4 linked regions of the Mytilus edulis genome follow. The protein of the gene in region 1 purifies or fractionates together with the protein of each later gene. This does not show direct contact. Links are inferred from orthologs where the notes say so. Each region holds a gene or a part of one and is shown in the gene's direction. Other genes may lie near its edges.

The links.
Region 2: the proteins of cysteine-rich protein 2-binding protein-like (region 1) and histone acetyltransferase KAT2A-like purify together in Drosophila melanogaster (affinity purification with mass spectrometry; 4 studies listed by BioGRID, with this or other methods). This does not show direct contact. The link is inferred for Mytilus edulis from reciprocal best matches to the Drosophila melanogaster genes Atac2 and Gcn5.
Region 3: the proteins of cysteine-rich protein 2-binding protein-like (region 1) and protein Dr1-like purify together in Drosophila melanogaster (affinity purification with mass spectrometry; 4 studies listed by BioGRID). This does not show direct contact. The link is inferred for Mytilus edulis from reciprocal best matches to the Drosophila melanogaster genes Atac2 and NC2beta.
Region 4: the proteins of cysteine-rich protein 2-binding protein-like (region 1) and WD repeat-containing protein 5 purify together in Drosophila melanogaster (affinity purification with mass spectrometry; 4 studies listed by BioGRID). This does not show direct contact. The link is inferred for Mytilus edulis from reciprocal best matches to the Drosophila melanogaster genes Atac2 and wds.

The regions. Positions count from the first base shown.
Region 1 is NC_092344.1:116,012,000-116,018,987, reverse strand, and holds the start of cysteine-rich protein 2-binding protein-like, read left to right. Parts: upstream 1-3,967; 5' UTR 3,968-4,140; intron 4,141-4,892; 5' UTR 4,893-4,927; coding exon 4,928-5,027; intron 5,028-6,077; coding exon 6,078-6,192; intron 6,193-6,988.
Region 2 is NC_092344.1:36,818,472-36,826,081, reverse strand, and holds the start of histone acetyltransferase KAT2A-like, read left to right. Parts: upstream 1-4,594; 5' UTR 4,595-4,652; coding exon 4,653-4,850; intron 4,851-7,610. Other genes in the region: pre-rRNA-processing protein TSR1 homolog, read right to left, coding at 3,228-3,339.
Region 3 is NC_092345.1:62,860,539-62,868,117, reverse strand, and holds the start of protein Dr1-like, read left to right. Parts: upstream 1-4,566; 5' UTR 4,567-4,654; intron 4,655-7,579. UniProt on the Drosophila melanogaster protein: Bifunctional basic transcription factor. Activates transcription of DPE (Downstream Promoter Element) containing promoters while repressing transcription of promoters which contain TATA elements.
Region 4 is NC_092345.1:49,812,774-49,819,869, forward strand, and holds the start of WD repeat-containing protein 5, read left to right. Parts: upstream 1-4,074; 5' UTR 4,075-4,226; intron 4,227-7,096.

The DNA.
Region 1 (6,988 bases):
TTCCAGTAACAAACATCACATAAACATATTTAAAAACAGTGAGGTCCAGGACCATTCCCGTATACATTATTGTTACTCTTTGTAATAAATTCCATTGTCTGTGAACATGTTTTTAGATGTAAAATTTTGTACAAATTATAATTTGTACATAAAATAGGTACAAATTATATTTATTTTTTTACTTTGTACACATTTTTCTAAAAATTATAATTTGTATTTTGACTTTGTACACATTTTTTGTACAAATTATATATATATTTGTGAAAATGACAATTTGTATATGAAATTTGACTAAAATCACTTTCAACAATGTATAACTTTTACAATAACTTATCATATGGATTTTTTTATAAAAAGAAAGCCTTGATACACCGTATATAATTGTAATTCAATGACCAAATAATAAACGTTATGTTGTACTGTTACACCACTGTCCAAGGTTTATAGACACCAACTAACATGTTTAACCCCGCCACTTTCTGTATGTGCATGTCCCAAGTCAGGAGCCTGCAATTCAGTGGTTGTTTTCGTTTATTAGTTTTTAGATAAATCAAGCTGTTAAATTTCTCGTTTTGATTGTTTTTCGTTTGTCTTTTCAATGCCTTTTATATATGACTATGCAGTATTGGTTTGTTGCTCATAGTCGAAGGTGGTATGATGAGCTATAGTTGTTAATTTCTGTGTCTTTTTGTCTCTTTTGGATAGTTGTCTTATTGGCAATCATACCACATCTCCTTTTATACTTATTTACAAAATACAAAAATAGTATAAATGTATCATTTGTTTGAGCATGTGAGTGAAATGTTGCCTTTGGGAATTACACGACATCTTTTTCTTCAGCATTCACACTAGAAGTGCTACTCCTCCTCTTTGTATTTACATGAAAGAGAACCCTGACTATCAATTTTTCGATCGCTTTTTAACTGGTTCACATAATGAAAAGTGAAGCTCAGAAACTGTTGCTGCAAATAAAGATGTGTCTTTAACAGCTTCAAATATTTAATTTCTCGACAAAATATACTTAAAATAAGTGAATATATTTGTCTCTGTTAAGGCCTAGCAATCCATACAACCAGTTATATAATAAGATGTACTGACTGTACTGTATTGGTCCTGGACCGGACTGATTTTAAAATTTCATTTACTGTTATCTGTTATTGTCCCTTTTCAATTCCTTGTTATCTGTTTTACGCCAAATCAATTTACTGTTTTGCTGTTATTGGAACCCCCCTTGCCCCCCCTCACAAAACGATGACTAAATTAACAAATATTGTTTAGACAATTTTCTATCTTTGACTAGGTTTGTCCCCTTATATACCTTAATATAATATAATGTTATATTATGGCATAATGGGAAAAACATTTCTGAGGCAAGTGCCTGTGTGTAGGTAGACGAAATAATTACGATTGACATACTTGGGCAGGCCTGCTATGGATGATTCCGACAACAAAAGTATCACTGTATGCGTATTATACACCATCGTGTTGGAAAAAATATTGATTTTACGGCATAACAAGTTTTAGTGGGGTTGAGAACCGAGAAATCGCCATATAACAGAAATTCGCGACCGGGTGAACATTTTCAAAGAATGCGAGTTAAGTACCTTGTGTTATATTAAGGTATATAGGGGGGGGATATGAGACAAGTGTCTGTGGCTGCTTATAACAATCCAACCAAAATGTCTTCAAAATGTATATTTTTTTTTAATGTGTTTTTATTTGAAATATAGAGCAAAGAAAGTGGCAGGTGACGAACACTTTTGGCCAGGTAACGTAGCTCTAAATCATGCTGTTAACTTGAATAGTTTTACAACGCACTCATACAGATACAGATACAGTGGTGTTCCCTCAGTCTGTTACTAAAAGTAAGTGTTTACCGTCAATATGACCCGGCAATATCAATGTCCTTTTAATCTGCATATAAAACAAGAGGCTCTCAAGAGCCTGAATCGCTCACCTTAATTTATTTTTTTGGTTAAATCTCTCATCAATGATTATTTTGGCTTTTCAATTTATTTAAATGTTCTTTGAATCGTCCTATTTTCTTCAAAAGCAAAAAAAAATCATTTTCTCCTATGTTCTATTTTAGCCATAGGAGCTATGTTTCTGACATACAAGGAAATGAAATATAAAATTTATACTAGATACTCTGAAACTCATTTAGCCTAAGTTTGGCTGAAATTGATACAGCAGTTTCAAAGGAGAAGATTTTTTAAAGTAAGTCAACATGATGAACAAATTGTGAAAAAAGTCTTTAAAGGGCAATAACTCCTTAAGGGGTCAATTGACAATTTTGGTCAAATTGACTTATTTGTAGATCTTACTTTGCTTAACATTTTTGCTATAAACAGTTTATCTGTATCTATAATAATATTCAAGATAATAACCAAAAACTGCAAAATTTCTTTAAAATCATCAATTCAGGGGCATTATACCTGAAAAACCAGTTACCCAATTCGGCTGAAAATTTCAGGACAGGTAGACCTTGACCTAATAAAACTTTAACTTCTTGTCTTATTTGCTCTAAATGCTGGAGTTTTTGAGATATAAGCCAAAAACTGCATTTTACCCTGTGTTCTATTTTTAGCCATGACGGCCATGTTTTTTGACGAAATAAAAAATAAAGCACAAACTTTATTTTGTACACCCTACTGATCATTCAGTTGAAGTTTGGTTGAATTTGGTTCAGTAGTTTTAGAGGAGAAGATTTTTTAAAGTTAGCAAATATGATGAACAAATTGTGAAAAATTGTCATTAAAGGACAATAACCCCTTAAGGGGTCAATTGACAATTTTGGTCATATTAACTTATTTGTAGATCTTACTTTGCTGATCATTTTTGCTGTTTACAGTTTATCTTTATCTATAATAATATTCAAGATAATGACCAAAAACTGCAAAATTTCCTTAAAATTACCAATTAAGTGACAGCAACCCAACAATGGTTTGTTTGATTCATCTGAAAATTTCAGGGCTGATAGATCTTGACCTAATGAACATTTTTACCAATGTCAGATTTGCTCTAAATGCTTTCGTTTTTGAGATATAAGCCAAAAACTGCATTTGACCCCTATGTTCTATTTTAAGTAACGGCGGCCATGTTTTTTGACGGATCAAAAATCGAAGCCCACACTTTGTGCAGGATAATCTAAGGAACAATCATGCTAAGTTTCATCCAAATCCATTCAGTAGTTTCAGAGGAGAAGATGTTTGAAAAATTGTTAACGACGACGACGACGACGACGACGACGACGGACGCCAAGTGATGAGAAAAGCTCACATGGCCTTTTAGGCCAGATGAGCTAAAAAGGTGCTTGAATGATTGAAGGCCTACTTTTATCAAAAAATATTTGACGTAGTATCTATTTAATTGAATGCTCCGTGGAATTGGAATATGAGAAGTTTATTATATAGACTATATATAATAGATTCATATTAATACACCTTATCGCTATTTGTCCGCCATTGCTCACACAGGTTCCCGTAAAATGTTGACGTCATAAAACAAAATATCTGACGCAACAATGGAAAAGTGATTGTTGTTGACGTCAAAAGTTCAAACGGCCGGGTCAGCCGGGATTAGCGATAAGGTGTATGCGGAGTTTGAGGGGTCCTGATCCCGAAATCCCTGGCTTAAAAACTTGAACACGAAATCCCGAGGTCCCGAATTTAAATAAATGAAAAAAACGAATTCCCGAATCCCGAAATCCCGAGCTTAAAAACACCCGATCCCGGAGTCCCGATAAATATCCTATCCCCCTCATAATACCACAGTCGCCTGAAGATTTAATAATTATAGCGAAAAATGGGGGAAATAAAATATTTTTAGTAGTATTAATAAAATATTTTTAGTAGTATTATTATTCTATATAATACTACTAAAAATATTTTATTTCCCCCATTTTTTCGCTATAATTATTAAATCTTCAGGCGACTGTGATAATACACACTCAGGCGTAAAATCGTTCACGTCTACACCGAACTTGTACTTACGTTTAGTATTGGAATTTCCGGTGTTTTGGTTTTGCGGCAAAACAAAATTGTTTGCAATCTGCTTTTCATATACACAGGGAAATGCTTTAGTACCAACTATTTTTAGTGTCAACAAGTATATTGATGATCAAACATTATAAATAATCTTGTATGTATTTTCTTTATTCTGTTTCACCCCCCTTTTTTTGTCTTTTGTCATGCTATTTTTTTCTTTTTGATTGGTTCTTTTGGTTTTGCCATCTTTTGGTAATAATCAATTGGCATACAGGAAAAGTTACATTTTTCAACCTAATTAAAAAATAACAATAGAACTTTTGTGGAAATTAATTATAATTTACACATGTATAGCGATTTATATATAAGAATGTTTCTGGTGGTGATCTAGTCCAAATAATTATGACGTCTGGCAAGGCTATCTGCCCTTTGACTATGTCCAAATAATTATGACGTCTGGCAAAGGCTATCTGCCCTTTGACTATGTCCAAATAATTATGAAGTCTTGGAAGGCTATTTCAAATTTTTGCTTTGACGCCTTCCTGCGATGTAAGGCGTCAAAGAAAAAAATATAATAGCCTTTCAAGATGTCATAATTATTTGGACTACCCTTTGACATGTTTGACGGCTAAAAAAAAAAGATTATTAAATGTTTTCACAATTAATTGTTTTTTGCATAAAATCATCCAAAATTTTGTTTGCCTCCCAACCCAATGAATGTACTAGCGGAATTACACACTTCCTTTCAAAAATTCTGGATGCGCCCCTGGTTTCATTACTTCTTTAACTTCAAGTAGCTTCTTCCTCTTTCGATCAACAATGCATTAACACTAAAGAATTAATACATGTTGTAGCTAAATGTATCTTCCTTATTTCATATTTTTCTGAATAAAATTTTTGTTACAGACATAACCATAGTATGATTGATTAGATAATTAAATATGGAACCTGAGGCAACACATTGTTATTGTAAAGTAAAGGAAATTGATGAAGAGACTCCAAAGTTAACATGTATGAAATGTAGACGACAGTTCCATATAGGTATGATTTATCAGTTTTATAGAGTCAATGACAGTTAAACATGTTAAAAGAATTGAAAAGAAGAGAAAATTCAAAATACAAAGTTTTAATTAAATTTGGAGTTAATGAAGAATTCTAGAAAATGTGGTACAGTAGGGTTTTATTAAATAAGACGGAAAGGGACATTGCCACCAAAATGGCAGATCTAGAGCATCAAGAAAAATCACCTGACTGAGAATTCACCACCAAGAGTTATTTCCAATTAAGTCATCTAGTACGTACTGTATAATAACTAGGAATTTGAGTAATAAAGAGTGTATTCAATTTTATTTATAAATCCTTTATTTGCAGTATCACCATTGAAAGCAAATTTGGCAATCACAAATATAATGTAATACTACATACATGTATGTCACTCAAACATTAACCAAATATTATGTTATTTTTCACTGAACAATCCTAAGTTCTGTAAAAAAAATATGAATTTATAAAAAATGAATTATAGTGAATGAGCAATACCTTTATGGTTTCAAAAATACTTATAAAATTGAGAATGGAAATGGGGAATGTGTCAAAGAGACAACAGTTCAACAAAGAGTAGAAAAGAGCCCAATGCCACAAAATGTCTTCAACGCAGTGAGAAAATCCTAAACCCAGAGGAGGGCAACTCAGTATTTGCTGTCAATACATGTATAGATAGCATGTTGTTTATTTTGGATAATACATGAAATATTTGCAAATACTGTGGATTCATTATTATTCGTGGGATACCATTTTTTGTGGTTTTAGTTGGTACAAGTGAACCACAAATTTAAATGTTCAACGAATCACAAATTTGCTGTTGGGTTGTATACAGACTTTGACAAAACCACGAAATCAGATATCCACGAAAATGCAAAAGTTCCTCAATCCACGAAAATTGGTACCCACGAAAATAAATGAATCCACAGTATACATAAAGCAAATATGTATCAATTAATCTATCTTCTCACAGTCTCATCCATACTTATATTGAACAACCCTGATAGCATATACATGTTCTGTTATTATGTAAACAATATTTTTTATCAGATTGTTTAAAGACGGGAAAGCCATCGTTATTGGCAGGTGATGTATTTTTTCACTTGGTCTGTACTGAATGCAATAACAGTGGAGAAGAAGAAGTAGATAGATTAAAGATGCAATGGTAAATCTTAATAGAATTTTATAGGATTTTAACAGTTCTTCTTTCATTGTCTTTTACATTTCTTAACAATAACTGGATTTGTTTTTTCAAGTTGTGGGCATTAAGTTCAAAGTTTTTAGTTATATTTACCTTTTTATACCCCATAGGAGGGTAGGAGTATGAAATATGGCATTTCAAATACAGTACTGAAAAAAAAGCTGTCTATGCGTGATAATAAAGAATGATTATCAATGAGACAACCATCTATCAAAAGTACCAGGATGTAAACTGCTCTAAAACCTGTAGAAAAGAGGACAAATACATTCAACTTCACACTAAAAACAAAAAGACATCTGATTGCGCTAAATTTACACAACACCACATACAAGCACAACAATAATAACAGGAAAGTCAATGAAAACTATTGATGCAAATCAGGCAATAATAAAATGTCTTTTCCTCTGAAGCTTCAAGTGAATATCTTCCTAAACTTTAAAGGAAGGATCAGAATTCCTTTACAAATATTTTTGATTTTGTGCTAAAACAAATATGCTGACCTTTAGATTCCTATTTAACTCTATGGCAGCATATAGGCGTGCTTCAATTAAAAGGATTTTTAACATTATGTTTAATATAAATGAAGAACCATTTGACTTGATTATTTAGTTCATAGAACCATGCGCTCTATACTTCCTAAGCTTAATTGTGGAAGAAATCCTGAAGTTTTATTATGTATATATGTGAGGAAAACTTAACAAAATGTCCCTTTTGTCTTTCTCTCAATTTTCAGTAACTTGAAATACTTCATTCTAAATTA
Region 2 (7,610 bases), about 79 Mb from region 1:
TCTTTGCCGTCACTGTTAAATCAGACAGGTTATTCCACTGATCCACTACTCTAATTGAAAAAGTATTTAGTCTATGTGTGGTCTTACACTGTTTTTTAAACAGTTTTAATGAGTGACCTCTTGTATTATTAGATGGTGCTAAAGTAAATAGCTTCATCCAGTCGATGTCATCTATACCATGCAACGATTTGTAGACTTGTATCATGTCATTCCTATCCCTACGATATTCCAAAGTTGGCAAACCCAATGAACGTAGCCTGTCTTCATAATTAAGATGACAAATATTTTTCACCAGTTTTGTGGCCCTCCTTTGTACAGATTCCAGTTTACGGATGTCTTTTTTAAGATACGGTGACCAGACGCATGTCGCATATTCAAGCAGCGGACGCACTATTGATTTATAAATAGTAAGAAACATATCTTGATCCATGTAATCAAAAGAATGATGAATAAGAGACAACACTCTCTGCGCTTTGTTGTAAATATCACTTATATGTTTTTCAAATTTCAAATTAGACTCGAAAGTTACTCCAAGATCCTTTTCTTCATTCACTGTAGATAATGCAATAAAATTTCCAGATTCATCCAACATGGTATAACGATATTTCAGGTCATTGTCAGGATTAATATGCAATACTTTACATTTAGCAGCATTAAATTTTAATTTCCACATATCTGACCATTCACATAATCTGTCCAAATTTTCCTGTAACTTACTTTGCTCATAATCTGACGAGACTTTAGAATAAACTTTACAATCATCAGCAAAAATTTTCACTATGCCCTCTACTACATCAGGAAGATCATTTATAAATGTTAAGAAAAGAACTGGTCCTAAAACACTTCCCTGAGGTACACCACTCACAACGTCTGACCATGTTGATGTTGTGTTATTTATACGAACACATTGCTTACGCCCAGATAGAAAACTTTTTATCCAATTTAAAATGCATCCCTTTATTCCAAGTTTTTCAAGTTTCAAAAATAAACGCTGATGCGGTACAGTATCAAACGCCTTTGAAAAGTCAAGGAAAATCGAGTCCAGTGGAAAACCACTATCAATTAATTCTGACCACTCATCCAGAACCTCTAGGAGTTGAGTAACACATGATCTACCAGGACGGAAGCCATATTGACTACTAGTAAAAAGATTGTTTGTAAGAATAAACTTCATAATATTGTCTCTAATAATGGATTCACATATCTTACATACCACTGACGTTAAGCTTACAGGTCTATAATTACCAGGTTTTAGTTTTTTCCCTTTCTTAAATATCGGTGATACTATGGCATTTTTCCAATCGTCTGGAACTTTCCCCTCTTTGATAGACTTATTAAAAATTAGAAACAATGGATAACAAATTGCATGTCTAACTTCATATAAAACTTTCGGATGGAGACCATCAGGTCCTGCAGATTTATCTGTCTTTAATTTATTAAGTTTCTTTATCACATCTTCCTGACAAATATTAATATCATTTAAATAATTGTTCGACACTGAATTAGTATCATAATCTTTCAAGTCCTCCGTTTGAGTAAAAACACTAGTAAAAAACTTATTTAAAACTTCAACTTTGTCAGCAGTACTGGATGCTAAAGTACCATCCGGTTTCTCAAGCGTACCTATTCCTGATCTAGTCTTGAGTTTACTGTTAACATAATTCCAAAACGACTTTACATTAGTCTTTGATTCTAAGGCCACTTTTTGTTCAAAACTAAGTTTGGCATTTTTAACAGTATTTGTACATTCATTGCGATCCTTCACATATTTGATATATGACAAATTATTTCTTGAATATTTATATTTTTTCCATGATTTACGTTTCTTGACAATTGCAGACTTAGTAGCTCTATCCATCCACAAAGGTCCCAGATAGCAAACATGTGTTGGGCCAATATTGGCATTCTGTTGGCAACATTGTTGGGCCAATGTTGGAAAACTGTGTTGGGCCAACGTCATTTTGCTCATCGGCCCTCAGTTGGCCCAACATGTTGGGTCTTTGTTGGCCCAACATCAGTATGCCAACAAGGTTAACTATTTGCCAACAATCTGCCAACAATGTCAACTATTTGCCAACAGTCTACCAACGTCGTCTGGTTCTAAAATTATGTTGGACCAATGTTGGTCGAACAGCAGTATGCCAACGATGGCTTCAGTCTGTCAAACATGTTATTTATGCATTTCATGTTATGTATTATGAAATATTTATCTCTTGTATATAATGTATAATATATTTGCAGGTCAATCTCGGCTGTCATGTGGAGAGTGTGATGTTACACTCGTGTCAAATGAGCAGCTGAGTTCAGTTGACAAGTTTAACAACTTGCAGAAACTATACTCAAATTTTATTTGTTTTTTTGGGCTGGTTTTAAGTATTTTTTGTTTGTGCATAAAATTATTCAATCATTAAGATAAATACATTTAAATGACTACACAGATTTGAAAATATTAGATAAAGAGAATGAAGAGCACATTTTTTGGTTTGCACTTTGAAATAATATCTAAAAAAAAATAAAAAAATCTGTGGTATAATACGGGGAGATAAGAACTTAATACGTTGGCATATTGTTGGCACCATGTTGGCTCATATCTCAATATTGTCATGAAATATCAATGATATGTTGGTTTTTTTTATAAATATACTGTTTTAAAAACTTTTGAATTATTCAAAATACTAAAAAATTTCTAGCTCTTGGCACAGACGGTTTAAAATAGTCCTATTTGGGAAGACTTTATTATTTTAATTTTTTACTAAGTCCTCAATGCCCTTCAAACACAATCTATAGTCTCTATGATAACATAGAATCATTCAAATAAAGTTCGAATAAAATTGGTTCAGTAGTTTCAGTCAGAAGATCTTACACTGAATCAATGGATAACGTAAGTCAAATATCGTTGGGCAAGCTACTTTAAAAATAACAGTTGGTAAGAAAATGTTGGGCCAACATTGGGTCAATAACACCAAAATGACAGTTGGTGGAAAGTCGTTGGGCCAACAAGGGGCCAATAGTGTCAAAATAACTGTTGGCTGAGTTTTGTTGGGCCAACAAGGGGCCAATAGTGTCAAAATAACTGTTGGCTGAGTTTTGTTGGGCCAACATCGGTTTCTTGTTGTGCTGCCAACGCCAACTATTTACCAACTGTGCCAACCAATCACCAATGTTGGCCCAACAAAGTATTGCTATCTGGGGTGGGCTTATAAATTTACGGTCATTTTTCTTCTTACCTTTTGTTTCTCTTTCTAATGAACCTTTGCTTCTATGTTTGCCATGTTTGTGTCCTTTATTTTGTTGTTTAAAAACGCCAGGTCTGTGGGTTTGCTGTGTATCTGCTGCCATTCTCAGCTTTTAAATGAATTAGAGTACCTGTCAACACTATGAACACGTGCTAATGGAATATTGATACTAAATTTAGAACATTTTAATGTTGTAAGGGGCTATAAATAAAAAAAATAGTACTAGACAGATTCATGTCACTAATAAAAACGTAAATAATGAGGACAAGCTTAAATGTAGCATGTGCCCTATCTGACAACCAAAACCAATATAAACAAAAACCTTCTTTGTTATAACAAAATGAATGCTTCTTTTTGTAACTTTATTATGGGGTGTAAAAGCATTGACCGAAGTACATTTTGTATGAAGCGCAGAAGTAAATTATGTTGACAGAGAGTAAAAAAACCTGAAAGATACCAAGATGAATATTTGTATATAACAAATTGTTTTCTTTCTCATTTTTTTTAAATTGTCAAAGAAGGGAAGGGAAAAAATATAGTTGTTTTAGAAGGGAAGGGAAAATTATTTTTTTCAGAATTGGAAAGCTTTATCTAATTCACATGTGGAAGAATTAAGGCATTACTGGGGTTAAGTCATAAAGTAAAGAAGTCCCATCTATTATTATTGCAGTTAAAAAATAATCTTAATTAGTTCATTATCGCACATCAACGTTGGGGGTATTATACAACTTGTCTTGAAGAGTTATTGTCCGTTATCGAGCCTGAGTTATCTTTCTTCTTTCGAAACCATTAACAAATGGCGGCCGAAATCTACGTGAATGACAGTCTCTATTTACATGTATTTTTGCCAAGAAAAGAAAAACTGAAACGGTTTTTGAAAGAAAATAAAAGGTTATGGACGCTCAACCTATGATATTTATCTACATTAAATCAAAATTTGATCGCACAATCGTTACGGTTCCCGAGTTTTCAATGACCAAAACTACAAGGTCATTTTTGCTGAAGCACATGTCAAATTAATCCCGGTCAGGCAAAAGGCTCATGCAAATAAATTTTGGCCAGGGAGTCCCGCGAAAAAAATAAATTCAAAGAACTTTTCAAATCTAGAAAAAATATTCAAATAGAAGAAACATATCTGGAAAATAATAAGAGTCATATACTAATGTTATAGATTGCTGATAATATGGCCAACTTATGGATTTTTTTTTGTATAATATGTCTCTGGTATTATCAACACCAAAATTACTTCATTTCAGAAAATTGTGGTGCGTTACTGTAAAAAATATTTAGTTGTGTTTGGTTAGATCTTTTATGTTTCTGTTAGTTTGTTGTCATGGATAGTGATGTGAAGCTGCACAGTACTACTTATTTTCAATGTTACAAGCGTTTGCATAAAAAAATGAAACAAATAAAACAATGAGTGACGCAAATTCTAGCGATCCACTTCAAAATGGAACAGATTTACAGCAAACAAATAAAGGTCCTACACAGTCTACGACAGGCGAAATGTCTAGACCGAACAATCTACAAAGAATTGCACAAAAGAAAGCTATGGTTCGGGGATACCCCAGGAACAAAAAATTGGAAAAGCTAGCTGTTTATTCGTCTTGCAAGGTCCGTTTATGATTTTTAAATTCAATGCTTCATGTATACCGATTGGGACGGAATGTCAAAATATATAGATTAAATGAGGGTTTGGATTTAGGGTCCTACATCTCTATACACCTTATGTCTGATAAAAGCTCTACAGAGCGTTTGTTGTATTGTTATACATTGTATGTACAAATGTATAACCGACTTTAAATAAATCTTTTATGCTTAATGCTTATTGCTAACCATGGCTGACCTGGCCGCTTGAATTTTTGACGTCGTACACAATCACTTTTCCATTGTAGCATCAGATATTTTGTTTTATGACCTCAAAATTTTACAGGAACCTGTGTTATATCCAGTAATGGCAGACAAAACGCGATAAGGTGTATTGCTTTTTGGGCCATTTTTCCACAGGCACATTGGAAGACCCACTATCAATGTATATTTACGATAAACGTTGATAGTGGGTCTTCCAATGAATAGAAACAAGTGCCTGTGCATTTTTCTCTATTTATGATTATTTCATTTGTTACTAATATAATTTCTCTCTGATCATTCATGCTGATTGCGATGGCAAATATAGGCAAGATGCAAGAATTGTTGTCCATATGATGTATCGGCCATGTCATGTCGTACTAATTTCAAAACGTAGAAATTTATACTGCAAAAGGTTTACTTTTTATGTTCAACGGAAGGCTATTTGGAAGCTGTGAGGTCATTAAAACAATTTGAACTCCCGATTTCTATTATGTAATCGAAGTCTTAAATGTTGTTCCATCTAATCAACGTGGTTTTAAAATCAGATCGCAATGCATGAATAGCCTAGGGAAAACACTGCATGAAACAAATTCTATATAAAGTATATAGATATTATATATGACGCCCACTAGCAAAAAGGACCCTTATTATGCTTATAGCAAACATTATTTAACATGAGGCAGGCATAACCTTTGAAAGGGGACGAAGTCTGTATGAATTATTTTTTTTAATTCAAACATATTTTATTTTAAAATCTATTAAAAAGAAATGGAAATACCATAACGTTTCCGATTTGGTTCTGTTGTTTTACATTTTAGTTGTGACGTTATTTAAGTGATGACGTCATATATTCAATGTAAAAAAAAAGAAACACAAGCATCAGGAAAAAATTTCTCATATCAAAGAATTATTGAAAATGAAATTGGTATTTTGATCATTCCTATATTTTACTAGACTGATAAACATATAATTTACTCAAAGTCTCATGACAAATGAGATGAAAATAAAAAAAGTCTGAAAAAAAAGTTAATGCTTTTGAGTTCATAAGAAGCAAGAGTTTTTTTCAGGATTTTTTTTTTTAATTTTTCTAATGTAATAGTTGACTTTGTCCCATTATTATCAAATTTTGTATTTCCTAAACAAATAATACTTATCATCAAGTTATGTCAACTCAAAGCAAAAAAATTGATCATTGATAAACTAGCTATGTAATTTTAATCTTGACTTATTTCATGGATCAGTGAACAATGTTAAGATTTTGGGGTCAAGTCCATATCTCAGATACTAAAAGCAATAGGTCTTTTATATTTGGTGTAGGGAAGAATTGTAAGGTGTACATGTACATTGTACTGTCCAACTGGCAGGTTTCATCTGACCTTGAACTCATTTTCATGGTTCAGTGGTTATAGTTAATTTTTATACGACCGCAAAATTTGAAAAATTTTTCGTCGTATATTGCTATCACGTTGGCGTCGGCGTCGGCGTCGTCGTCCGGCGTCCGAATACTTTCAGTTTTCGCACTCTAACTTTAGTAAAAGTGAATGGAAATCTATGAAATTTTGACACAAGGTTTATGACCACAAAAGGAAGGTTGGTATTGATTTTGGGAGTTTTGGTCCCAACATTTTAGGAATTGGGGGCCAAAAAGGGCCCAAATAAGCATTTTCTTGGTTTTCGCACTATAACTTTAGTTTAAGTTTATAGAAATCTATGAAATTTTGACACAAGGTTTATGACCACAAAAGAACGGTTGGGATTGATTTTGGGAGTTTAGGTTTCAACAGTTTAGGAATTAGGGGCCAAAAAAGGGCCCAAATAAGCATTATTCTTGGTTTTCGCACAATAACTTTAGTTTAAGTAAATAGAAATCAATGAAATTTAAACACAATGTTAATGACTACAAAAGGAAGGTTGGTATTGATTTTGGGAGTTTAGGTCCCAACAGTTTAGGAATTAGGGGCCAAAAAGGGACCCAAATAAGCATTTTTCTTGGTTTTCGCACCATAACGTTAGTATAAGTAAATAGAAATCTATGAAATTTAAACACAAGGTTTATGACCATAAAAGGAAGGTTGGTATTGATTTTGGGAGTTTTGGTCCCAACAGAATAAGGGGCCCAAAGGGTCCAAAATTAAACTTTGTTTGATTTCATCAAAATTGAATAATTGGGGTTCTTTGATATGCCGAATCTAACTGTCATGACTGTGTATGTAGATTCTTAACTTTTGGTCCCGTTTTCAAATTGGTCTACATTAAGGTCCAAAGGGTCCAAAATTAAACTTAGTTTGATTTTGACAAAAAATGAATCAGTTAGGTTCTTTGATATGCTGAATCTAAAAATGTACTTAGATTCTTGATTATTGGCCCAGTTTTCAAGTTGGTCCAAATCGGGGTCCAAAATTAAACTTTGTTTGATTTCATCAAAAATTGAATAAATGGGGTTCTTTAATATACCAAATCTAACTGTGTATGTAGATTCTTCATTTTTGGTCCTGTTTTCAAATTGGTCTACACTAAAGTCCA
Region 3 (7,579 bases), on another chromosome or scaffold:
TGACTAAATTATCGACTGTTCATGCTCTTGGCAATATTTGAAAGATCAAGGATTTTTCTTTGATTTGTTTGTAGATGATCATGAAAGATAATGTTCATTGTGTAAAGTTTTATCGATATATTAAACTTAATGTAATAATATTCTATATTCTTGTTGAACCCAAAATGTATATCAAACCTGTTCTTCTTCTTTTTTCTCTTTCTTTGATCGTCTCAAACTTTCTACAAATGATATGAAAAACATCAACTAGTTGTATGTAAATGTTAATTACCAGAGATGACCAAATCTGAAATCTGCATAAGGTGACCAGAGGTAACCAAATCCAATATTTACATAAGGTGACCAGAAGTCACCAAATCTAATATTAACATAAGGTGACCAGAAGTTACCCCATTCTAACATATAAAGTTTAACAGATGTTAACAAATCCCATTTCTGGTTAAGATGACCACATGTAATCAAATTCTATATTTGTGTAAGGTAATCAAGAAACATAAAAATGATTTGTTAAATCAAGCCTAAGTGGCCATTTTACCAGAAACGATTGCAAGTTTTAAGTTCAAAAAGAATAATAGTTGCAGCATTATATAAACATAGTGTATGTTTCCATCATATTAAAGGTTTTATACAATAAATTAAATGCATACATACCACTCTCATCTCCATTTTCTGGGGACTTCTGAAAAAAGAAGATTTCCTTCTAGTCTGTGATTCGAACATTCAAAAAAACGTGTCATCACAAATGACAAATCATGCAAAATGGATGAAACGAATATTTTGCTTTGAATGACTTAATTAAACTTAAGTTTGTGTTATTCGTTGTATTCAATTGCTCGGTATGTTGATTTTACTTACAGATAATACAGACGGTGACAGGCTCTAGATATATGGTGTATTGCTAAATAGAAAGAAGAATGGTCTATTTTTAGTTTTCTATTTTTAGAACACCAATATTACTACACAGAAGAGTACTATTTATAGGGTGACCAGTGGGCACCGTTCAGCGTAACTATTATCCTTGTGCACACCAGATATGATTAGAAAGATCTAGTCTTTGCCTTATGTAACTCCGGGCATAAAAAGGACTACATAGGTAGGTAGGTAGGTTTGATAATGTTCCCCATGATATCTTGTCACCAAGCAACTAATTAAAAATCAAAGCGCTGTAAGCACTGTAGGCAGTTAACCAAAAACCAAGTCAAACATAATTATGAAAACTGTGGCAATATTGCTTCATTTTTTTTTTAAAGATTTAAAAGAACAAACATTAAACATTCATATATAATTGTACATTTATGTTCATTTAATGAATTAATCATTAAGGCAAATAATTCATATTTTATCAAGGTTTTCAATAGCAACGTATATATCAAGTATATTTTTTTCATGGTCATGAGTCTCGAGTCAGCAGTGGTACAAATTCGCAATGATTGCAGTTCTTCTAGTTGATCGTAATTGTTCGTATTAGTTGACTGTTTGTATTTTAAGTTGACTTTAGTACGAGCTTGTAAAATATGAATGGACTTGCTTCGAATTCCCTGGAAAGAAAACTGAGTTTGTGTTCTACAGTACAAAAGTTATGAGACACAAATCAGACACAAATGTTTACTACTACAGGGATCAATAGTGAGGTCTGACTGACCTGTTCATAGTAAATGTAAATGACTCCCACCTTCAACCCAAGTCCATGATGTCTAAGTTCGGAATAAAATGACAGGTGTTAGGTCTAGCAAATTGATATGCATATGTGACGCCTATGAGATTGACCTTGTATGTCATTCAATCTTTTTGAAATGACAAACAGGAATGAATATGGTTTAGGAGTTGGTATCTCAATCTTTTACAAGTTCTCAAAACACACACAAGAGGGTGTGAGTGACCCTAGGGACTACCCCTATTTTTCATTTGATTTGTTATATTGTCCCATATATGAATATATATGGTTTAGGGGTGGGGGACCCCAGTGACTTCCCCTATATTTCATTTGATTTGTTATATTGTCCAATACATGAATATATATGGTTGAGGGGTTGGGATCTCATCTGTTTCCAAGTTATCAAACAGGATTGGATAGGGGTGACCCTTAGGACTCTCCCTATATTTCATTTGATTTGTTCTTTTTTCCCATACATGAAAATATATGGTTTAATTTAAGGCTATGATCTCGACTATTTCCAAGTTCTCAAACAACAGGAGGGTTGGGGTGACCACAGGGACTTCCCCTATATTTTATTGATTTGTTATTTAGTCCCATACATGAGTATATATGGTTACGTGGTGAGGATCTCGACTGTTTCCAAGTTCTCAAACATGAGGGTGCAGTGACCCTAGGGACTCCCCCTATAATTCATTTGATTTATTATATTGTCCAATACATGAATATATATATGGTTTATGGAGGGGATCTCAACCGTTTTCAAATTCTCAAACAGGAAGGGGTAGAGTGGCCCCACGAACTCCACCTATATTTCATATTGATTTGTTATATTGTCCCATACATGAATAATTTTCATGATATGGTTTAGGGGTGGGGATCTCGACCGTTTCCAAGTTCTCAAACAGGAGGGGTGGGATGACCCACAGGGACTCCCCCTATATTTCATTCGATTTATTATATTGTCCCATACATAAATATATATGGTTTAGGGGTGGGGATCTCGACTGTTTCAAAGTTCCCAAACAGGAGTGGTGGGGTGACCCCAGGGACTCCCCCTGTATTTCATTCATGCGCGTAGCTACGTTTACGTCAAAACGCCCGGGCGTACACTTGAATTTTTAAAATAAAACAAATATTCGACATAGAATAAGAAAAACTGGTCAAAAGCACATCAGCCTTGTGCTTCTTTTTTCAATGGATTGTAATTTTGAATAAAAAGGGACTAAATTTACTCAAATAAATCATTTAATATATTTGTTCGAATCTTTGGTAAAAGTCTGAATCTACTATGAATTCTACGTACTTTTCTTATATTTAAAGCAATTCACTATCTGCTCAGATTCGATATGCTGTTTGTATTTTTGTCGAGCCAGTGATTTATGTCCCAAAAGCGAGACAACATTTAGGTTCCGAATGTGGATAAAGTCTTTTGAATGACTTTCCGTGAAATTTTACGAAAGTTGGACAGAAACTGTTTATGAACAAGAGAGTATTCAGAGCAATATAATAATGCAATTATATCTTTAATTTTCCCGCATTTTAAGGACAAAATGTATTTCTTTCTGCAATTAATAAGTGGTCGCAGTTTGGGCTTACATTTTGTTATTTCTCAATTACATTAACTACTTGTCGAACCTTCATCGAATTTTATGAAAATGCCGAAGAAGCTTTTTTTTCTATTACTTATTTCTAAAGCTAAAATTTTGAAAGCATTTTTTTCGTTAATTTTCTATTCTTTTCTGATAGACAGCAGGATAGCCGGACTCTTCTTTACGCAATTAATTGTTTTACATGCTCAATTTATAAACCTTCATAGATTGTCGTGAAATATTCCAGATCAAGAAAAAAAATATCAAAAGAAAATTTTAGATTTTTTTTAAATCCCTTTAAAGGAACGATAAATTGATTCACTTTTTGTGGGAAGAAATCCTAGGTGTTCCAGAAGTTTTTTTATATTGCACCTCTTAGAAATATTTTTTTTTCGTGTTCATTAAAAGGTGCTTTTGTGGATTGTATGCTCACTCACGGCACCATTTAAACTTATTTAAAAGTAATATTGGTTTGGACGTTTTCTGTAAAACCAATGACCATTAGGCTAGCTTCCAGTTTAACACGATGAATAAGTTAACATATTACAAGATTTAACCAAAACAAACAAACCATTTACGGATTCAAAAGTATGTTGCTATCAATGATTTTTTACTGACAGGAATCATTACGGTATCTCATTCTCGATAGCTTTCGGGGGCTTCGTCCCTTTCGAACCCACTACCAGCAGGTGCTTTAACATTGAGCGGTTGACACCCCTCATATCCCTCGCCAAGGTTCGGGCGTACACGTAAAAATGACCCAGCTACGCCACTGGGAGGTATACATGATAACGTGATAATTAACCTCCTTTGTGTATATAGGGAAATGCTGAAGATTTTCTATAAAATGTCAATATGTTTAGCTTTGAAAAAAAGATACAATCCTTAAAGAAGTATACCATGGGGCGCATAAATTTTTAATGCAAAATCGGTAGACAATTAAATTTTTGCTCAAAATGGCCTGAATAGAATAGAATAGAATAGAAACATGATTTTTATTTTCCAAATTACAGGGCCCATAAAGGGCATAAAATCAGATACAATATATTTCTCTTGCAACAAAAGTTTCTCATTTCTGGATTTTGTTTGTTCTGGGAACAGTATATCTAACTGTTAATATATATATGTTCCTGGTTTTTTTTAGTAAACAATAACATCAAATGTTCTATTTTTGTCAAAGTAGGTTCAGAGACATATATATAATGAGTATCTATGTCTCTGGTAGGTCTATCTTATTTTACAAAGTTGGAGTGGGAGTTGGGGTGACCGAGACCTCGTAAAATCCGGAAACAAAAGCCGAAATTGATTACACATTTATAATTTTCTAATTACCTCCCTTCTCTTCCTAAACAGAAGGAAAGAAAGAAATGTTTCATTGATTGCAACGTACTATTTTAACAAAGCCCTTGTAAGAATATAGAACTCTAATGTATGTTAACGAAATATATCCCAACAATGAATGAATGCTTTATATAAATCCAAACGAGCGATTGACAAACAAGAACGTAATGGCAAAATATCAAACTCGAAGCAACTGTGGAAATCAAAACAAACATGTAAAATGTATATTTTATAGTTCATTATACATATCTTTGTAATAATAAGGCATATGCTATAATTGTTTGGGGATACAGTTGGTATTGTAGCCATTTTGCATATTTGCAATACCATACAATTATAGCCTTTGTATGAGGTCGACAGTACCTCGAATGACCGAATAACACTGTTAATATCCAAATTACACTTGTAAAGACTGAATAACACTTGAAATTTTTAATATTACCACATATTGGTGACTTTTAAACATTGATCATTAAATTATAGTATATTATCAATGTATTTCATAACTTATAAATGATTTATACTTACTTAATGAGTGATTTTCTAAATCACTGGTTTAAGTAACATTATTTCCATAAAAGTTGGAAGTAAGAGTTGTCTTTCTTTAATAATCACCTATTTAAGTAGTACAAATTAATCACTAGAAGAAGTGATTTAATCTTATTGTAGCTTTAAATAAAGAATACAAATGATCCAGGGACTAATTATGTTTCTAAACTTATCAGAACCAACATCTGTGTTGTTTAGGATGACCAGGTCATTTCAGGTGATGACCTTGTACTGAATCTAGGATAATGACATTAAAATCACTTGTTTAAGTATCATACCTCAATTTCCTTCCCAAAAATCACTTATTTAAGTATCATTATTTTAATAACCCCCACTAATTTCAACACCTGCGAACAGTGAAATTTTTATCGCGAACAGTAGAATTTTATTACATAATCTGAAAGATGAAACCTTGAACTTTACAGGAAAAATACTCCCACTGCCTGGAAAAATCTGTTATGAAAGTATCAGTTCATTATGTAAAGCCATTATTATAGCATTTTTTCAACTAAAATAGAATTTTCAGCTAAATGATAGCATCAAAGGCATAAACCTTACTACTTAAAAGAAGCAAAAAGTTCATTTTTTTCAATTTTACTAATTAAAAGATATTATTTAAACCTATGTGTTTAAAATTTTGAAAAAACTACAAAATCCCAATTTGTGACAAAACTTTGAATTTGCTACTCAAATAAGTGATTTAAAAATCACTTATTTCAGTAAGTCCCCTGACTGTAGAAAGAAGATTAGTTCATAACAAACTTTTAAAATTTAGTGTGTACGTCCAACATGGTGACCACAGACATCACATTGGCCGCCATGTTCTATTCTATGTTTTATTAGGATAATAACAGTGTTATTCGGTCATTCGTGTTACCCTGAGGTCGCTACAAGGATGTATTCTCTATTTTCTATTCTATTCTAACATATAGTGATCACCTTCAACAAATTGAAGATGATATCACAGGAGGAAATATTGACCTGAAAGAAGTATATTGACAGAGGACGAAGTCCTAGGTAGATATACTTCTTTGGGTCAGTGTATCCTGTATTGACTTCATACATAGACTTGGTCTTTGATTACTCTGACATCCAACGGATGTTTTGCCAGACAAGCTGGGGCCATGGGACGTCAGAGCTTGTCCCATATCAAAAATGGATATTTGCCCATCCAAAATAGATGCGCTGCTTCTTCGCTTCTGGTGCCAACAGACGGCCTTGGAATTATATAAATCGGGTATCAATTTGTTCATTTTTTATTAGCTCACCTGACCTGAAAGGTCAAGTGAGCTTTTCTCATCACTTGGCGTCCGTCGTCCGTGGTCTGGGGTCCGTAAACTTTTACAAAAATCTTCTCCTCTGAAACTACTGGGCCAAATTTAATCACACTTGGCCACAATCATCCTTGGGGTATCTAGTTTAAAAAATGTGTCCTATGACCTGGCCATCAAACCAAGATGGCTGCCATGGCTAAAAATAGAACACAGGGGTAAAATGTATATTTTGGCTTATATCTTTAAAACCAAAGCATTTAGAGCAAATCTGACTTGGGTAAAATTGTTGATCAGGTCAAGATCTATCTGCCCTGAAATTTTCAGACGAATCGGATAACCTGTTGTTGGGTTGCTGCCCCTGAATTGGTAATTTTAAGAAAATTTTGCAGTTTTTATATGACCGCAAAAATTGAAAATTTTTTGGTCGTATATTGGTATGATGTTGGCGTCGTCGTCTGCGTCGTCGGCATCGTCGTCGTTGTCCGAATACTTTTAGTTTTCGCACTCTAACTTTAGTAAAAGTGAATAGACATCTATGAAATTTTGACACAAGGTTTGTGACCACAAAAGGAAGGTTGGGATTGATTTTGGGAGTTTTGGTCCCAATATTTTAGGAATTAGGGGCCAAAAAGGGCCCAAATAAGCATTTTCTTGGTTTTCGCACTATAACTTTAGTTTAAGAAAATAGAAATCTATGAAATTTTAACACAAGGTTTATGACTACAAAAGGAAGGATGGGATTGATTTTGGGATGTTTAATTCCAACAGTTTAGGAATTAGGGGCTAAAAAAGGGCCCAAATAAGCATTATTCTTGGTTTTCGCACAATAACTTTAGTATAAGTAAATAGAAATCAATGAAATGTAAACACAAGGTTTATGACCACAAAAGGAAGGTTTGGATCGATTTTGGGAGTTGAGGTCTCAACAGTTTAGGAATTAGGGGCCAAAAAGGGGCCCAAATAAGCATTAGTCTTGGTTTTCGCACCATAACTTTAGTATAAGTAAATAGAAATCTATGAAATTTAAACACAAGGTTTATGACCATAAAAGGAAGGTTGGGTTTTATTTTGGGAGTTTTGGTCCTAACAGTTTAGGAATAAGGGGCCCAAAGGGTCCAAAATTGAACTTTGTTTGATTTCATCAAAAATTGAATAATTGGGGTTCTTTG
Region 4 (7,096 bases), on another chromosome or scaffold:
GAAACTATAAACTGTCATAAAAGTGGTAGGTTCACCTGGCTACATATAATCCAGATTTAACCCACCAGTTTCTAATGAAAATGCTTGAACCATGTTAGGAATATGGCAGTTGTTTTTCACATTTTATTGATCGATAGGTTTTGATAAGGCTTAAATCAAAATATGGTATGTTTGCAGTTTACCGACTGACTTTGAAACCTCCCCCCCCCCCCCCCCCCAACTGTGATAATTTTGTTGCTTTAAATGTGAAGATCTTATTTTTAATACTTCTATTAATGAGATCTGGAAATTCATGTCCTTTCCAGAATTGATTTAAGTCTAGGTCAATTACACATTTAAGTTAAGTTTTTCTTTCTTTCCCGTCAAGCGTTCATATGACCGTTTTCTGATAAAGCACATGGAAATTGTTTACAGGTATCCATGAAGTTATGAAGGAGTACTTTACGATGTCGACTTCTGTCAATTTTAAGACAAATTACAAACAAAAAGTTCAATAGTAAACTGTTTATACAAATTCAGGCACATGGAATGATGTCTTTAATGATTTCATCGAGGATGATGCAGCGGATATTCACAACTGACATGATAACTCATCTTTTTCAACTTTTTGTCTCAAACAAATCGGGTACAGAATCTTTTGAGCAAGACTTTATCGAACCAATTTCAGTGGTTAAACAATTTGACAGCAGTTTGAAGTAGGTCATATTTTCTATAAATCGTTGTAAAGTAGACAAATATGAAACCACTCCTCTGTGAATTTATGGATACCTGTAAACATGCCTGTACGGAGAAATTCCAGAAAGAGCTCATTTGAAATGTAAATGGATAGAGACCATGCCAAATCAATTAGAAGCAACCCAAACTTAACAAAGATGATCATGTAGAGAAAATGAATGGTTAGCTTGAAAAATAAATATACTCTCTCTATATTAAGTCTCTCTTCGATTGCAATGAGTATGCTCCTTTAGGATAAGGGGGCCATTTGCAATTATTCTCTTTCTTACAATATTAAATATACCCAAACTTTGTGGCCTGTGTGAATTGAATTAAAACATGTTCTTAGGAGCTATGCTGTCAATTTTTTTTATGCAGTCAAAACATTTCAGTACAGACCATTTACTTTAATGGGGTGCTATGGATTTCACCCCAAACTAGTAAGTTTTCTTTCGTTTTCATTTATGCCAAACATCAACATATCTTTCAAAATATAATCGTATTTGATACATGTATTTGAAAGGTTATTTAAAATTAAGAAAGCTACATAAGAAACATGCAACTTCAGATCAGTTGAAAGCTGAATTTGACATAAGGCCAGGGTTTTTTAATTTGTTGGTTTACAGATCCGCCGACTTTATTTTTCAGATTAAAAGAGTAAAAATAAAATCGAAATTTAATGCTTTTTATTCCTGCCGACCCTTACAAATATATTATCCTTGAAAAATGAATAAAATATTTTTTTTTAAAATGAAATGATTTAAACACTTACAGAATTGATAACACCTTGTGTTGTGAAAAAATAATCTGGATGTGTATGTATCTAAAATAGACAAATCAATCATAACTGACCTTGAAATGTTGTTTGCACAAATATTTTTGCAAAATGAAACCTGTGCTTGAAAACAATTACAGAATAAGTTTGTTTCTCGTATTTTTCATTGTTCCGTTTTTCCAGTGTACGAGTCTATTACGTTTTTGACACGAATGTTGAAACTTATTTCCGAACGAAGTGTTTCCAATCAGTTTTCGTGCTTGAAGATCAGTATAAACCAAGTTTCGTGAAATTGATAAAGAGCTATGCCGATTTGTTTTATCTTGTTTGTAAAATGACGATTTAATTTCATCTATTATCCGTAGACACGGCCCCTCTTTTTGGAAATTATTAGACAGAGAAATTATAAGACAATGTCATGCGATGTTTATGTATTGAATTTAAAAAATTTAATTTACGACAGCTGAGCAATAATATTTCATTGAAATTCAAATTTAAGAAATGATTACAAAATAGCATAGGCCTAATATTTTAAAACATTTGAACCACGTTGCGTTTGTTTGCACCTGACTTTAGTCAGGAATCTGATGTTCATGATCAGTACTTGCCATTTACTGATGTGGTTCATATTAAAGTGCGTCTTATTTTTCATATAGCTGAGACCATTGGTTTTCCCGTTTGAATGGTTTTACACTAGCCATTTTTGGGGTCCTTCATAGCTAAGCTTGCTGTTCTGTGTGAGCCAAGGCCCTGTGTTGAACACCGTACTTTGGATGGTCTCATTGGCACTAGTACCACATCTTCTTACATCAATTATTTATGACTGAGTTAAGACTGATCAGACATTTACCCCAAAAATTAAGATGTTACATAAGAAAATGTCACACTACAATGCAAAAGTTAATTTTCTGAACCATTACAAGTGTCAATGACCTCGAGTCAACAAGCATTTCTTGTTCATATAAATAACTTAAAAGTAATTCATTTAAATTGCCATACAAATATAGCTTTGTAGTTATTTGCTCCATTTGAACTTTTGACGTCATACAACAATCTGTTTTCTACATTGTGGCAACAGATATATAATATATGACGTGAAAATTTTACGAGAACCTTTGTGATGTCCAGTATTGGTGGATAAATAGTGATAAGGTGTATAAATATTATATAGCAAATAATGAAGTAACTTAGCTTCTGAAAACATTGAAAATTGTCTATATTTGATCAATAAAAATAAATACATATCTGATGAAGTCCCGTAATGGATAGTTAATATAAATCTCATTTGGTTTTATTCCAAATTATAATCCATATGGCTATAGTAGTGGTCATTTGAGGCGAGATTGAGAAGCACTTGCAAATCATACAAATTATGATCATGTCAACAATGAAACGTTGTTTATCAAATTGTATAATAGGGTATGTATATGATGGGATCAAAAAGTATCCCTTAAACGACATATATATATTAACAAAGGACTTCCTACTACCAACTAGAACAATGAATGAGTCATTTTCTTGTGAGAAGACGCCATTTTCACGTGGAAAAATACTCGTTCACAAAACGAAAGAAGACCATGCAAGGGCTATTACTTCAATAATAATTAAACACAAACTATCATATTAAATAAATACAACATCTATTTACATAATTTTCGCGTTCTGTCGCGTATGTTTGTTTCCTTTTGGTACATATGTCTTTGATAAGTGCATAATCAGCGGAAAATTCATCAATGCATTCACTACCGTGTATATTTCGCAAGTTCTACATTATGAAGAAGTTGAAGATCAAAATTGTTTGATCTCGACTAACAAACTCCAAAAAAGATGCAAAAAAATCTCAAAATGTGTCCAGATAGATGAAATATAACGCTATTTTTCTTTAGACGATGTGAACACAGCCATGAAAAGATGGCGGTTTATGCGTCGTTTGTGATGTTGACTGACATTTTTTAAGTTTTTTGCACTTTTAAAATTGTTTAAAACAAAAAATTTAATAAAAGTACCCTGCACTGGTTACTGGGGTGTTCTGCTGAAACCTTTGTAGTGTCGGATGGCTCGTCATGTCCATTCAATCCACATGATTCAACAGGACCCACAGCGTATCAGTCATCAACATAAACGACCATCCCGGTTAGAAATGGTATTTATACGACCAGACAAAAAACAGAGGTTTTGATTGGATAAAAGCTGTCACCTGACATGAACAACTTTTAAAATTAGTGAAAATCCAGTTAAATTTGTTTTAAAATAATGTCCAAAATATCATTAACTCTTTCTCCGCTATGTTATGAAACAATATGTTTTAAAAGAAATTTCTGTACGGAGGTAGAATGCATCAAACTCGACTGATCTTTCGAACACAAATGATCAGTACGTCTTCACGTATCGACCGAAGTGAAATGATTGGCCATACATGTCACGTGTCAAAGAAAAAAATGTCAACATTGCAAAGCATGAAAGACAATAAATAAAACGAATAAAGATTTTTCACATTTTAGCAATGCTGACTGAAATCTAAGATATTAATTTTTTCACTTATATAAAATAAAAAGTTTATGAAAATCGACTACGCAAACAAACGAGATTCTGCTACTGGGCATGCGTATTACAGTACCCATGTGCTGATGGTCATAACATTGTACAGCGGGAAGATGAAAGGGACAGAATAGTAGAAGTTTCAATAGATCAATTCCAATAAAACCAGAACAGCACAAACAAAGAGCTAAACGTAAACGTAAGATCTTCCTTACTGATTGCTCACAGCTTAAAAAATACCTTATTTTACCAAATTTATGCAAAGTTTGTAAACATAAGCACAAGCCACAACGAAACCAAAAGTCAAACAGCCAAAAATAAGTCATATATTCATACAGATGTGTCTATTACAGAACATACGACATGTCAAGTTCCCTTTCATTTATAGCTATTATGAGGATAGTAATGCCCTTTACCATCAGGCGTCAAATGGTTACTTTCTCTGTATCTGTATAGTACTGGAAATTAACTCCCCTATCATACACCTTATCGCTATTTGTCCGCCATTACTGGAAATCGCACAGGTTCCCGTAAAATTTTGTTGTCATAAAACAAAATATCTGACGCCACAATGGAAAAGGGATTGTTGTTGACGTCAAAAGTTCAAGCGGCTGCGTCAGCCGGGATTAGCGATAAGGTGTATTAGCGGGTAACACGAATGACCGAATAACACTGTTGTTATCCGAATAACACTTGTAATGACCGAATAACACTTGAAATTTTAATATTAGCACATATTTGTGACTTTTAAACATTGATCATTAAGGATTATGTACCCTTGTGTTGCTTCAATACACCTTATCGCTATTTAGTCCATTCCGGGAAAAACAGTCATTAACAAAAGAACTATGTCAATTGGACATGCTTTGATACTATTTATGCACTTGAATTTTTACTTGATAACATTTTTGTTCGCTTTGGAGATTCCGTATATCGTCAAGTTATTGGAATTCCAATGGGGACTAACTGTGCACCACTTATTGCGGACCTATTTTTGTATTGTTATGAGTTACAATTTATGACTAAAATTAGCAAAGACCCATCAAAACAACATTTGATACAAAAATTTAACAATACTTTTAGATATTTGGATGATATATTGGCTCTAAATAATGACGACTTCAGTATGTATACTAAAGAAATTTATCCTGTAGAACTTACTTTAAATAAAGCAAATGATAACAATGACCACTGCCCTTTCCTCGATCTTGATATCTATATCATAAACGGGAAGCTTAATACAAAAATTTATGATAAAAGAGATGATTTTTCATTTCCTATTGTTAATTATCCATTTTTAGATGGTGACGTTCCCTTGTCACCATCTTATGGTGTTTATATATCTCAACTTGTACGATTCGCTCGTGTATGTAACAATGTATTAGATTTTAGCGAGAGAAATTTATGTATTACTGAAAAATTATTACACCAGGGTTTTCGATATCACAAACTGGTCAAAACATTTACTAAATTTTATCACCGGTATAAGGAAATAATTCGTAAATATAACTCAACATGCAGACATCTTATACGTTCAGGTATTTCACATCCAAAATTTTATGGAAATATTCTTTATAAAGCACAAAAATGTCAGTATTCTCCTCAGAAACTAACAAAACCTTTAAATAGACTTATTAAAAGGGGATATAGTTACGATACTGTTGTCAGGTCATTAAAGATTGCATATTTTGGCTTTAACATTGATTCACTGATAGGGTCTTTGCATCGGAACTAAACACATTTATTTCTAAAAAAACAGTTGTTGGCATGACACGGGTTATGTTCTTCTCATATATTTTATGATAGTATGATACTAAACCCCTAACGGGAGGGATTGTACCTGATATTCATATGATGAAGACATAATCTTTCAATCAGTTTAATTGAGGTCTGGAGCTGGCATGTCAGTTAACTGCTAGTAGTCTGTTGTTATTTATGTATTATTGTCATTTTATTTATTTTCTTTTGTTACATCTTTTGACATCAGACTCGGACTTCTCTTGAACTGAATTTTAATGTGCGTATTGTTATTCTTTTACTTTTCTACATTGGCTAGAGGTATAGGGGGAGGGTTGAGATCTCATAAACATGTTTAACCCCGCCGCAATTTTGCGCCTGTCCCAAGTCAGGAGCCTCTGGCCTTTGTTAGTCTTGTATGATTTTAATTTTTAGTTTCTTGTGTATAATTCGGAGTTTAGTATGACGTCCATTATCACTGTACTATTATGCATATTTTAGGGGCCAGCTGAAGGACACCTACGGGTGCGGGAATTCTCGCTACATTGAAGACCCATTGGTTGATTTCGGCTGTTGTTTGCTCTATGGTCGGGTGGTTGTCGCTTTGACATATTCACCATTTCCTTTCTCAATTTTATTTATACAACTTCCTGTTTGAGGTCAACGGCCGAAAAATGGAGGTCATCAGTAGTGAGCTGAGGAAGAAAAAACTTTAGAAAGTGATCATCAAGAAACTTTGATATTGTATGATCCACCTTTTTCGAAATAAAAATTGAAGTAAAAAAATATTTTGTTTGAAGTATTTACGGTAGTTTAAACAGGTCTCATTAAAAAGTATCATGCATGGTGAATTGTTTAAACAGGGTCCCAGCTAGCTTCAACTGGATGAAAAAGTTGTGTAATTTTAGAACTTATCCGGAATGGAATAAATAGCGATAAGGTGTATGCTAAACATATGGAAATATTATAGAAAATCCACAGCCATTATCCTTGTTCTATCATATTTGGCAATTTGATGACCGATAGATATAGGAATATTACATGCAGTGCTAGCATTGATTTCCTTAAAACAAGTTTATTAATGTAGTTATTGGTTAGAACAAGTAAAAATATGGACCAAATCAAGTACACCTTTTAGGGTGCGCTCGAATTTAGTTACTCTGCACGAGGTATTTTGGAATTTACAGGTTGGTTAGAACTTTTTGTAAAAAACAAACACTAGCACATCATAGAAAAGCAAGTGAGTAATATATGTTTCAAATTTTATAACAAAAATCTCTGTATTAAAGGCTGTGGATTTTCTATAAAAAACTTGGTTTATTTGCCACAAAG